Cricetulus griseus: one gene and its partners. The protein of the gene in region 1 interacts with the protein of each later gene in a pairwise test. Links are inferred from orthologs where the notes say so. Each region holds a gene or a part of one and is shown in the gene's direction. Other genes may lie near its edges.

Region 1 (4,282 bases):
ATTTATTTCCTTTCTACATTGCCATGTGGCCACCATTGTCATGTATATACCAGTCATATACCATGGTGTACTTTGAGTAAGGCACTGTCAATCCATGCCTCAAGAGTCTGGCCTGGGGATGGAGAGGGCTAGTGGTTAAGAGTACTTGCTGGTCTTGCGAAGGACCCACGTTCAGTTACCACATCCACATGGTGGCTCATAATGTCTGACTTCAGTTCCAGGGGATCTGACATCCTCTGAAGGCAAACATACAAAGGTAAACACCCATACGCACAAAATAAAAATAAATAATAAAAACGAAACAAAAGCAAAGAGCAAACGAAAAGACTATGGTCTAACAGTATAGTCTGAGAGTTAATTTGTGTAAATGGCTGGTGAGCTGGTTTTAGGCTTTGTGGGCTAAATGGTCCTAGCTCTGCCATTGTGGCCAGAGACTATGTAAAATAAATGATTGTCGCTGAATTTCAATAATACTTCATAAATACAAGCTGGACCAGTATACCTGTTTCTTAGTCTCCTTTCCTGTCCCACTGGGAGACCCACAGCAGTAATTTCCGTTGAGACTTCCATTGTTGAATTTGTTAGTTAAGGTGAGATTATAAAACACAGATCATTTGGTGCAATTTAAAAAATAACATTTTTTTTTTGTCTCCCTCCCTTCTTCCCCCAGGACACTTTATTCCCTTACATCAAAGAGAATGTTAAGGAGTACCTGCAGACTCACTGGGATGAGGAGGAATGTCAGCAAGATGTCAGCCTGCTGAGGAAACAGGTGAGGACTTCCCTCTTCAACATTCCCAGAGTCTCGGAGTGGAGGATGCCTAGAGACTTGGAACATGCTGTGAGCACACTGGAAATCAGTGTCCTTGATCCTGGTCTAGAAGCTGCAGTGACTTGCCTGCCTAGCAATTCACAGCCTGTAATAAAACAAGCAAGTCATAGCAATTCGTTGTCTGCAGAATTGCTTCTTTCAGCAACTGTTTAAATAGCCTGAAAGCCTTGTGTATTTGTAAAATTAGCCCTTTCTGGTGGAATACAAAATGTCTTGTGCAATGTCATCACATTTCGTATATGTCACCAAGTGACAGCACCTTGTCATTTCCTATTGTCCCACCTTATGGCATGAAACTGCCCTCTTTACAGTGCTCATGGGTCCTTGAATCTTGTCACCCTACCAGACTTCTCAACCAGTTTACCCTTGGCCCAGTCTACAGACTGCTTTCTGCCACTCTCTAGCCAGTCTGTGAACTTCTTCAGCATGGTGTGCTGACTTCAGTGGCAAAGATCTTCATGTTGTGCAGCCCTACACTGGATTGTACATTTCCTACACTGGATTGTAGAATGCTGTCCATGTGTCTTTTATTTATGGCAAGAAGTTAGAATTAGAAATAATCATGCCATCCATTGAATCATGCAGTATTTGGGTTTGCTGAGTTTTCTGGATAACTTGAGGTTAATCTGAAATACTCCCCTTAATCTTTATTGTCTCAAAAAGGAGGTTCCATACATACATACATACATATTTTATGTTCATTTAATGCATTGCATTGTTACAAAGTCCTAGTATATGAATTTGTTTTAATTATGTATATGTGTATGTACACGTGCCATGGTGCACTCATGGAGGTCAGAGCACAACTAGAGAAAGTCATTTCTCTCCTTTTGGTCATGAGGGTCCCCGAAATTGAACTCAGGCCAACAGGCTTAGTGGCAAGTGCTTTTTACCTAGCGATCGATCCCTTTTTGCCAGATCATTCATTTAAGAATAATTTTTAGCAGTTCTCAGGATAATTGATAGTTGGAAAAAACTGATCTTCCTGGTTTTGCTGTATCTTTTTAAAATACATGCACGTATGGGTGTATGCTTGTGCAAGCATATGTGTATAGCTCTTTAAATGAATAAACTTGATCTGTTTCTGATTTAAAGGCTGAAGAAGATGCACACCTGGATGGGGCCGTTCCAATCCCTGTGGCGTCAGGAAATGCTGGGGATGACCTGCAGCAGATGATCCAGGCCGTGGTGGATAATGTGTACTGGCAGATGTCTCATGATCGGAAGACCACAGCGCTCAAACAGCTGCAGGGCCACATGTGGAAGGCAGCTTTCACAGCTGGCCGCATGAAGGCAGAGTATGTGCTGTAATGATAGAATGTTTCACAGGCCCCAAGTCCACATACACCCCTCACTAGTTCTCTTTCTCCCTTGTAGACTGCAGTAAAATAGTAAAACAGATAAGTAAAAACAGATAAGTTGCTGGGCACGATACTACACACCTTTAATCCTAGCACTTAGGAGGCAGAGGCAGGCAGATCTCTTGAGTTCTAGGCAGACCAAGATGACATAGAGAGACCCTATCTTAAAAAAAAAAAAAAGATAAAATTCATATTGCTTTTATTGTAGCAAATGATTGTTCTCTCTCTCTCTCTCTCTCTCTCTCTCTCTCTCTCTCTCTCTCTCTCTCTCTCTCAGTCGCCAGCTTAGGTCCCCCAGATCTGGGGTTTAATGGGTAGGTGAAAGACTTTCAGTTCTATTTTAAAACAGTGTCCTAGAACATGGCAACTCCAGCCTGGTATACTGTTGTATGTCTGTGATACCTGAACCTTCTGTGAGCTAATTCATATTTAATCTGTGTCACTCATACCAGTGACATTCACACAGTGACAGCATTCTTGGTCTGCTTCTCTCAGTAGTTGATAAGAGAAGTGAGAGGGCTCAGCAGCCGGCTCAGCAGTTGCCAGTCCTGGGGGACCCAGTCTGACTTCCACAGATATTAGGCACATACACACACTATGCATGCAAAACACTCAGACACATAAAGCAAAATCAGAAAGAGAAGTAAGAACACTGAAATCCTGTTATTTGCAGTTACTCGTGGGCACAGTTTACTTCCCTAGCTTTTGGAGCACCTTCATAATCTTGGAGTCTCAGTCATGGGATTTCTGCTAGCTTTCCTGCTGAGTACTGTATTACTGAGATTGAAAAACAAAGCATAACAGTTTGGGCCAGTAAGAGGGCTTAGTGAGCAGGGCTGAGTGCTGCCAAGGCTGACAACCTGAGTTCAATCCCTAGGATCCACATTGTGGAAGGAGATAAACAGCTTCTGCAGGTTGACCTCTGACCTTGATATGTGTGCCATGGCATGTGCCTGTGTGTGCAGGTGTGTGTCTGCACTTGCAGGTATATGCACGAACAGACACATACACACACACATGATGTAAACAATTAAAGATAGGGTCTCAACTTATGTCTATCCTAGCTGGCCTGGACTTGTAGTGTAGCCCAGCTTGACTTCAAACTGGAATTTTCTTGCATTAGCTTTCTCAGTGCTGGGGTTTATAGATGTGTGCTTCCACATTCAACTGACCTTAGAGGTTCTTTTTTTTTCTTAAGGATTTTGGTAAATTGCCTTAGGTTAATTCTCAGATTCAAGGCCATTTTCAGCTGCTTGTGTGTCTTGTATTTCTTGTGTTTTGTTTAATGAGATGTTTTTGTCTGATACAAGGACCTGCCTTTTAAAAGAAGGCATTGAGATTTCAGGGTGTTTCCTTATGTATATGCAAGAAATACTCCTACATATATATAAAAAACATACTAAAATAGATATTTTTTTTTAAAATGGGGGAAAAGCATTTTCATGGTTTCTCAAAGCACAGTGAAGGTAAATCAGGCTTTTCTTATAAATTGCATCAATTAAGTAATACAATATTGTACATATTTTTATTTTAGCTCCTTGAGAATTAAAACATTTAATTTAATCTCAGATTTATTTTATTTGTGTTTTTTGCCTGCATGTAAGTAAGTATACCACATATATGCCTGGTGACCATGGAGGTCAGATGGGGGCATTGTATTCCCTAGGACTGGAGTTACAGACATTTGTGAGCTGCTATGTGGGTGCTGGGAACAGAACCAGGGACCTTTGGAAGAGCAGCCAGTGCTCTTAACTCTTGAGACATCTCTCTACCCACTAGTTACTTTCTCATTTCATCCCTTCATGCTTTTTTTTTATTAAAGTCAAATACCATTCTCTCTACCAAACTTGTTGCTTCTAATCTGTGATCCAGGAACTCCAGTGACCTGTTTATTACAACCACAGGAATTTCCTGTTTCATGGAGTTGCTTCTCAGGTTACCTTGTGAGTCGAGGCATGGTCTATGTACTGTCTGATTTTCATCTGACTCCATGGTGTATTTCTGCTTTGTAACTTGCTGGGTTTTCCTCCAGGTTCTTCGCGGACGTAGTCCCAGCTGTCAGAAGGTGGAGAGAGGCTGGAATGAAGGT
Region 2 (5,080 bases), on another chromosome or scaffold:
GAGGGGCTGCGAGGCCCCTCGGTCAGGATGCTCTCGGTCTCACGCTCCGAAGCAGGGAGGCTCAAGGAGACTCTTAGGGAACCCGGAGCAGCGCCAGGGGAGAGAATCCTACTCGGCGGATCTTCCTGCACCCTCATCCCCACACCCAGAGCTCGCCCGGTCCCCTCCCCCATTCACAGCCCACCACCCACCCAGCCAGCAGGCGGGACTGTGCACACCGCCAAGCCACCCGCAGGGGGAGCCAGGGGGCTGGCTGCCGCCGGATGCTGCGGAGTGGAACGCGGGAGCGCACACATTCCCGGAAGTGTCCCCTGACCTTCCCTAGCCAATGGGAGCTGATCTGCCCTCCAAAAACCCCGCCTCCAGCCGCCGCCCACCCAATCAGGCGCCGGTATTCACGCGCCACGAACGGGGAGGTTTTAGGAATTAAAGGAGCCTCGACGAAGATGAGTTCCGCGCGGGAGAAGATGGACCGACCGCCAGGGGGCGCCTCAGTTCGGCTCAGAAAAAGGCGCTCCAGGCTCGCAAGATTGTGGGTTTTTTTTTTTTTTTTTTTTTCCTTTTCAAGTAGTGGCACAATGGAAAAAGGTCCAAGGGCTTAGGAATGCAGCGGGCAGAAGTTTGAATGCCAGCCCCTCTCTTCGCTTCTTTGCTCGGCTATTCTTAAACATATAAATTCCGTTTTATACATGAAAATGTAGAGTTAGGTAAAAAGCGATGCCTAGGATATGGCATTAACTTAGACATAGGGGCCTTCATCTTTAATACACTGAACAGTTCTGCCCAGGCCTCTGGATCAAGTGGCATTTATGCTTTAGAAAAGACATTAGGCAGATTCAGCCTCCTTTGGAAGAAATGGAATCCGGGACATAAAAAGCAAGTCTTTTCGCAGGGCATGTCCGGTTCCTATTTTCTTTTCTCACTGGATCTTAAAACACCCAGCACCTTTAGTGCCCTCGGGGTACTTGTCAGTCCTCAAAGGCAACTACCTCTTACAAACAAACGAGTTACAAATGCACTAATGTGAATTTTTTAAAAAGACAACATAACAAATACTGTTTGGCACCAGGTTAGCCTAAGGGGTAAATGTAATCTCGTTTCTTGCCTTGCTCGATCCCTTACCTATATAGCAGAGCGCTTTAAGCTCCACGGTGACTTCCAAGTCCAGGTTCTCTCCCACCCACACCCCCCAATCGCGCAGCTGCAACCTCAGGAAACCAAACCCTTCACAGTGTTTCAGGGCACGATTGAGTTTCTCAAGAGCCATCGAATGTGGCCGGGAGGCGGGCGACCCTTACAACACCCTGGGTCAGAGCTTTGCGGTGTGACCCTGCCTCCCTGCCTCCCTCCCTCCCCCCCTCCCCACCCCGCAGCCTTCCGAGTTAACCGCTGTGTCCCTTCCCATGACACGAGGCCGGGAGGCTCCGCGATGCTGACCACAGCAGCTCTGGAAACTGAGGGGCAGGGAGGACAGCAGCAGGTTACGCTGCAGCAGCAGCAGCAGCAGCAGTAGCAGACCGGTTGTCCCGAGGCCATCTCGCCCCGACGTTGCATCAGCTGCAGCGCCCGCCCGAGACCTGCGTTATCGCACACGAAGTGACATGGCCGGGCAGTACATCCACGGTCGCCCCAGATCGTTACACCTGGAGAGCATAGAGTCCTCCCTCCCAAATGGCTATCAAATCCCGCCGGGGGTCCGTTTCTAACAACTTCCGGGCAAGAGCGGAGGTCTAGCGAACCGGGGCCGCTCGCTTGGAGCGTCCGGTCGTCGCCGCCGAGTTAAACAAAGGGGCGGGGTTTGGTGACGGACTTCCGCCCCGTTGCGTAGCAGCGGTGGGCGTGGCAAAAGGGTCAGTCCGAGACGAGCAGGAGTGGTTGGAACCTTCTTCCCCATCCTTTCCTTCCCCTTCCCCTTCCCCTACGGGGAGAGGCTGAGAGCCGGCACCCAGGCCACTCCGCGGCCGCCGTGGCCTCAGCTGCAGCCCGGCCCCGCGTCCGGAGAACCCACTCAGTGTCCAGGGCGGTGCGTAACGCTCCTGAACGAGCTTCTCACCCGGGAGGGGAGGGGAGCGAAGCGGAGCGGAGCGGAGGGGGCGAGGTCCCGGTGGGTAGGCGCCTGGGTCGGAGGTGCTGGGGGTCGAGAGGAAGGGTGGAGGGGGGGAGGAGGATGGAGGAAGGGAGCTCTGCTGGGAGGAGTCGGGAGGCGAGCTGGGGGCTCAGGAGCTTGGGAAGGTCCTCTGGAGCAGGGAAGCCTTGGGAAGTGCGGGAGTGGCCTTGGGCTGGCCCGAGGACCGGGGAGGAGCAGACGGCTCGGCCTAGGGGACAACGTGGAGTTTAAATGGCAATGATTGACGGGCCTGGAGGCGAGGAGGGGAACGTTCTGGGGGCCAGCCTTGGCAGGAGCCACGGAACCCAAACCTCCGCCCTCCAAGCGCCATAGCTTGGCTTCTTTCCCATGCCTTGTCTTTGGCAGCCTTGTCTTTCTCTTTTATTCCTTCGCCGCTCCTCTCCCCTCCCACCCCTCCGTGGAGGACTCTTACATTCCTGACATCCTTGCCCCTGGATGATTTGCAGCCCCGCTCCCTCGCACGCACGATCCATCCACTCGCTTTATACGAAGCCCACCCCAGCCCAAGGAGGCAGAACAGTTGGTGGGTAGAGAGTAGGAACAGGAGAGAGCCGAAAGCGAGCAGGATTGAGCATGTTTGGGATCGGCACACACTTTTCCTTTAAAAAACTAGCTTCATCTCAACTGGTAGCAATTGTGGCGGTTACCAAGGCCACTGTTCTCAGAGACTGACCTGTGAGAATCTTGGCAGGTACTTCTTATACAATAGTGTTAGCTAATTACAGTGTTGCTGGCTGCTAGTATTTCCCTAAGAAGGAATGGGATTGGATAGTGGTAAGGGAAGGAGAGGGGTACATTAATGTTGATACTCTGTCACCAGTAGACCCTGTGACAGGGCCTGCTTCCCAGTAGTTGAAAAGGGGGAACAAGCAATTCCAAACATTTCCTCTGGTCCTCATTGTGAATTTATTGTGCCATTCTGTTGCTACAACTAATAGCAGTCTGGAATCTCCTTTCCTATTTATTTTGTCGTTTGATTTGCTGTATGTAAGATAGGGCAAATGTCATCGTCTGTTTGACAGTTGGAGAAACTGGTTGCAATGCCTTATTTGAAGTTGGTGGGTGGCAGAGCTAGGACTGGAATAACCCAAGACACCTCTCTCTCTCTCCTGCTTCTTTGCTTGGTCAATAACCCTTTATCTATTTTTTTAGATTAACCCCTATTAATTTGCCCATCACGGGAAGCTTTTTGATTTCTGGGTCTGGGTCTTGACCCTAGGAGACCGAGCATTGCCTATAGAACCTCTTCCTGGAAGCATTTTTTGAGATACAGGTGTGTGCCAGCTTGTTGGGAAATGGGGAGGAGAAGAACATCAACTCCACCACTCCTCTTCTGGACTGTGAAGAAGGGAAAGTGCCAGGTTTTACATCATCTCTCCTTCTGAGAGGACATGTGAACATGTAGTTGATGATGAGCACGGTGAACTAATGAACAAAGTACCATATTCTGGAGAATTTGTATTCTTTGTAAAAATCACCATTATTTTATCCCAACATAGCCCTTGAAAAAAAAAAATATATATATATGATACAGGAGTTTGATTAGTAGGAGTTTGGTTAACATTCCTGTACCTCTTTGAATCAAATTCTCAGGGCACTGGAAACTTGGACTTGGTTCTATCTCGGTAGGCATGCATCTAGTCAGCCCAGTTTAACTGCTATATCTGAACAAGTTGCCCACCCTGGAGCAACATCTCTACTTTTCCCTCCTTACCAATGATTTGAGGAAGGGTCTCATCCTGTAGTCCCTGCTGACCTTGAATTTGCAGTGATCCTCCTGTCTCAGCCTCCCAGGTGTTGGGATTACAGACTCCACCATGCCTGACCTTGTTTTTTTGTATCACCCGTTGCCTCAGGCCCCACTCCTCTTCCCTCCTTTTTCAAAGCCCGATTTCCTTCCAGAGTATTTCTCATTTTGCACCTATAGCAGCATTCTTGGGTGTCTATGTGTAAAGTAATGTTTTCCACGTGGAAGGCAGTACCTGGATTTTTTTGTTTTGTTTTGTTTTTTTTGTTTTTCAAGAAAGGGTTTCTCTGTGTAGCCCTGGCTCTCCTGGAACTCTGTAGACGAGGCTGGTCTTGAACTCACAGAGATCCGCCTGCCTCTGTCTCCCGAGTGCTGGGATTAAAGGCGTGCGCTACCACTGTCCAGCTTATACAGTGTTTTTTGTTTGTTTTGGTTTTTCGAGACAGGGTTTCTCTGGAGCTTATCCTGACACTCCATATGGAGACCAGGCTGGCCTCAAACTCACAGAGATCCACCTGCCTCTGCCTCCCGAGTGCTGGGATTAAAGGCATGCGCCACCAGTGTCCGGCCCGAACTTTTTAATTTTTTTGAGACAGGGTCTCATATAGGCCAGGCTAGCCTTGAATTCCTGATCCTCCTTCCTTCAATCCCAGGTGCTAGTATTGCAGGTGTCCATCAGCTTTCCCACTGTTTGCCTGATTTTAAGTATTATTTCAGACTGGGTCTGAACACAATTTAGAAATAGACTTCTTGATTTATTGAGACAGGAGGGTCTCTGTGTAGTCCAGCTGGCTTGAAACTCACTGTCTTCTGAGTTTTTCAAGTCTTGGCATTACAGGCATGCACCATCATGTCCAACTCAGGTTTCTTGTTTTTGTTTTCCTGTGGTACTAAGGATTGGGTCCCTGTGACCTGTAAATGCTGGGTATTGTAAATCTCTACTATTGAGCAGCATCTACAGCCCAGATTTTTTTGTTTTTGTTTGAGACAAGGTTTGGCCATGTAGCCTAGGTTGGTTTAAAACTTGCTATATAGCCAGAGCTGGCCTCGAACTCAAGAGTTCTCCTATTTTGCTTACTGAGTGTAGGGATTACAGGCATGAGCCTACCACCATCCATGGCCTCCAGAATTATTTTGACTGGAAATAATGTAAGTGAAAGCCCTTTGGAAACATTAAAGGCTAGTATAGGGGAAATATAGATTCA
Region 3 (3,979 bases), on another chromosome or scaffold:
AAACCAGAAGACCCAGGACTGGGGTTCTCAACCTGTGGGTCACAACCCCATTAGGGGTGGAATGACCCATTCACAGGGGTTGCCTGAGACCATTGGAAAACACAGATATTTACATTACAATTCATAACAGTAGCAAAATGACAGCTATGAAGTAGCAATGGAATAACTTTATGGTTGGAGGTCATGAGGAATTGCACTAAAGGGTTGAAGCATTAGAAGGTTGAGAACCAATGGCTTAGATTGTTTTCTACAAATGATAAAAGGCCCTGGATTAGATTACTAACACTACACCCTCCCCACAGCACACACACTAGATATCACAACATGCCTGCAACCCGAGCACTTTCTTGGTGGAGGTCAGCCTGGGACTAAAGACACTGTCTTTTTTCCTTTTTGTTTTTCTTATTTATTTATTTATTTATTTATTTGTTTATTTTTGAGACAGGGTTTCTCTGTGTAGCTTTCGAGGCTGTCCTGGAACTTGCTCTTGTAGACCAGGCTGGTCTTGAACTCACAGAGATCTGCCTGCCTCTGTCTCCTGAGTGCTGGGATTAAAGGCTTTCGCCACCAATGTCCGGCTTAATTTGTTTTCTTAGCACAGGTTTCTCTGTGTAGCTATGGCTGTCCTGTAACTCTCTCTGTAGACCAGGCTGGCTTCAAACTCAAGAGACTGCTTGCCTTTGTCTCCCAAGTATTGGGATTAAATGTGTGAGTCATCACCACCTGGCTGAAACACTGGAATTCACAATCCACCTGCCTCTGCCTCCCCAGTGCTGGATTAAAGGTGCCAACATATCTGGACTGGACAATTTAACTTCTCTGAGCAGCAACACAGGGATCTGTACAAATGTGATAATAGCAACAGTAGCTTCATAGTTAATTAGCATACTTGTAAAACAAAGCAAAGCAAAACAAAAAAACAAAAAATTTTAGCATACTTGTTTTATTTTTATTTGGTTTTTAGAGACAAAGTCTAGTTCTGGCTGTGCTGGAATGCAGCGATAAAAGGTGTGACCTCATGTGGTCTTTAATTAGCATGTTAAAAACAATGCATCAGTCAAGACTTACATAGATATTTGATTTTATTCTTCAAAGGTTAGGGATTGGAAGAATACAAAATCAGTTTGTATCCTTAGCACTGGAAAACAGCAACAACAACAAAACAATGGTAAACAATAGGGTTAGTTGCAGTGGGGCAAATATGAACAGGGCTTTTTTTTCCCAGACAGGTCTCCTGTAGTCCACATTTGACCTCAGATTTGCTATGGAGCCCAGGATGATTCTGATTTATCCTCGGGGTCTTGGAAGTGCTGGGATTACAGCCTTGAGCCACAGACACCATCACTACGCCCTGCCCTGCCCTACACGGTTTACAAAATGCTGGGGATTAAATTCAGGGCTTTGTGCACGCTAAGAAGGAAGTTTATTAATGCAATACACCCCCAACTCCAAGCGAATATTTTATTTAAAATGTATTACATATAGAATTGTTTGTTAATCAGGGTAAATTAAGCCAATTGCAAAATGTAAAAGAACATCAGTAAATCGCTGGTGTTCACCTCTGCTGTTCACATTACACTCCAGCTGTCAAAGCGTAGTAGGGAAATTTTAAACTATCCTTTTTTTTTTTTTTTTTGACACCTGCAAAACCCTGAACTCAAAATAGAAGCTAATTCTCTCACCATGGTTATGCACCGGCGACACGAGGAGCCTTTACAGACCTTCTGAAAATGGCAGCCCACGGCGCAACCCTTGCATTCGAACGGCAAACCCGACCTTCCCAAGATGGCAGAACAACAAGGGCTCGTCACTTCCTGTGCCCTACCGGATATAAGGAACAGGATTTCCGCTTTCGCTCCTTTCCGGCGGTGACGACCTCCCTACGAGAACATGCCTGTGAGTTCCTTGGTCCTGGTTTCGGCAGGGAGCACGCTCTTGTGTCTACATTCTCCTCTCGCGCTGATTGCAGATCGTAGAGGGGCCACACTTACGCTCCGCGTACCTTAGGGCAGTAATTCCAGAGCCGCGGCGGCCCACGGGCCACCCGCGTAGATGGGAGCGGAGAGGAGATAAGATGGCGGCCCAGCTACGCAGACACCAGGGGCGGCAAGGGGCGAGTGCTCCCCGGTGTGTGACAGCGGGCACCGTTTGCCGTCGCCTCTTTTTATCCCTGCCTTCTAAATCTCTGCCTTTCTGCCCCTCGTAGCTCGCAAAGGATCTCCTTCATCCCTCTCCAGAAGAGGAAAAGAGGAAACACAAGAAAAAGCGCCTGGTGCAGAGCCCCAATTCCTACTTTATGGATGTGAAGTGCCCAGGTGAGGAGGTGGTTTGCTGGAGCGGGGAAAGCACTGATCATCAGCAGTCGAGGACTTTCTGAGAATTCAAAAAGACGGACTTGGATCTACATCTTAGAAGGAGTGCTTGGATTAGTGACAGCGACCGCACTGTTTTAGGAAGCTGTAAAGGGATGGTAACTTGAAGAAAAACTGAAAGCAGCTAACATTTTTTGTTGTTGATTTCTCTCTCTTTCAGGATGCTATAAAATCACCACGGTCTTTAGCCATGCACAAACGGTAGTCTTGTGTGTTGGCTGCTCCACTGTCCTCTGTCAGCCCACAGGCGGAAAAGCAAGGCTGACAGAAGGTAAGTGGTCTTCATGTTGGGTACTGACAGATCATGTAGCATGCAAACCTCCAGACTAGTAAAGTAAGCTGCATTCTTGTTAAAGTAGGCATTATTAATAGTTGTATTGATCTCAAAGCAGTATTGCTTAAAGCTGGGGTGGCCTGGTTTTGTTAAAAGGGTTTCATTTGTTTCCAGATGATAGGAACTGGAGAAAGAGATGTGTATAAATGGGAAGTAGACAGTGGGATTGAGAACAGATGTTCTTCAATCAGCATTCTGCAGATGAAGCAGGGGCTTCATGATGTAACACCTTTTTCTTTTCCTTCCAGGATGCTCCTTCAGGAGGAAGCAGCACTGAAAAGCACCTGATTCAAGATGAGTGGGAACCATCCCAATAAACACATTTTGGATATATATAGTGTCTGTCTTGTTTAACTGGTAGGAAGTTATGCCTCAAGTATTCCAGGGCAACCAGAAGAGTGGTCCTTTTGGGTCAAGTAAGTGGCCAAGAGTTCATTTCAGGCATTTGCATCTGGGTTCATAAACTGGTGGAACTGTATAGTTAATTGGGCTTTGTGTTCTCCTAATGTCTTTTTACTATTTATTCACTGTCTAGGGAAGCGCTGTCATACAAAGGTGTGTGACAGTTGTCATTCAGGGGTTGGTGCTACACACTACTAGAAGCAGAAGCAGTCAAGTTCAGAGCAGCCAGGATTACTGTACTTGTGTTCTTTAGTTTAGACGGGGTCTTATCATAGCTTCAAGTCACTACAGCAAGGGATACCTCCCAAGTGATGATGGCATTGTAGGTGTGCACCACCATATTAATTTATGTGGTGCTAGGAACAGAAACCCAGGGCTTGGTGGGGCCCCAGAAACTTAATCTTTTCAACACAGGAATTGGAATCAAACCGCTTAAGTTCCTTTATTTATGGTTAATAGAAAACTTGTTTTGGAGGTTAGTATAGAGTTTGCTACTCTATACTAATCCTTCTGCAGGATTAGGTGTCTCCTCCATTCTTTGACATGTGCTCATATTTAGGTTAGTGCTTTATACTCCATAACCAGTGTTGCAGCCGACTCTGTACTAGAGGTGGCTGTGGGTTCAGGAAGTGAGGGGGGGAACATGTTGTATAAGAACCTGGAAGAAAAGGGTGATAGTGAAGGCAAGTAAGCAAATATATAAGTTCACATACATCTGAACTTATGAAAGACAAGGGCAGTGGTTGTTTACCTGGCTGAGTTGTTCCTATAGTTGGTACATAAACAACAGGAACAGTCTGTATTTTGTTGAGGAAGGCATTGTATGCTGGATAAAGGAAACACCACAGAAAGATTTATGCGATTTTGATTG

The links.
Region 2: the proteins of Enoph1 (region 1) and Rnf41 interact in binary tests that used the Homo sapiens proteins (3 or more experiments, as listed by UniProt). The link is inferred for Cricetulus griseus from reciprocal best matches to the Homo sapiens genes ENOPH1 and RNF41.
Region 3: the proteins of Enoph1 (region 1) and Rps27 interact in a two-hybrid assay, tested with the Homo sapiens proteins (2 studies listed by BioGRID and IntAct). The link is inferred for Cricetulus griseus from reciprocal best matches to the Homo sapiens genes ENOPH1 and RPS27.

The regions. Positions count from the first base shown.
Region 1 is NW_023276807.1:162,164,854-162,169,135, forward strand, and holds part of Enoph1 (enolase-phosphatase E1), read left to right. Parts: intron 1-215; coding exon 216-256; intron 257-670; coding exon 671-772; intron 773-1,927; coding exon 1,928-2,130; intron 2,131-4,225; coding exon 4,226-4,282. UniProt on the Homo sapiens protein: Bifunctional enzyme that catalyzes the enolization of 2,3-diketo-5-methylthiopentyl-1-phosphate (DK-MTP-1-P) into the intermediate 2-hydroxy-3-keto-5-methylthiopentenyl-1-phosphate (HK-MTPenyl-1-P), which is then dephosphorylated to form the acireductone 1,2-dihydroxy-3-keto-5-methylthiopentene (DHK-MTPene).
Region 2 is NW_023276806.1:129,470,920-129,475,999, reverse strand, and holds the start of Rnf41 (E3 ubiquitin-protein ligase NRDP1), read left to right. Parts: upstream 1-1,840; 5' UTR 1,841-2,104; intron 2,105-5,080. UniProt on the Homo sapiens protein: Acts as E3 ubiquitin-protein ligase and regulates the degradation of target proteins. Polyubiquitinates MYD88. Negatively regulates MYD88-dependent production of pro-inflammatory cytokines.
Region 3 is NW_023276806.1:64,344,686-64,348,664, forward strand, and holds Rps27 (40S ribosomal protein S27), read left to right. Parts: upstream 1-1,760; 5' UTR 1,761-1,890; coding exon 1,891-1,896; intron 1,897-2,206; coding exon 2,207-2,315; intron 2,316-2,532; coding exon 2,533-2,643; intron 2,644-2,954; coding exon 2,955-2,983; 3' UTR 2,984-3,039; downstream 3,040-3,979. Other genes in the region: Nup210l (nuclear pore membrane glycoprotein 210-like), read right to left, coding at 3,669-3,766, 3,860-3,934.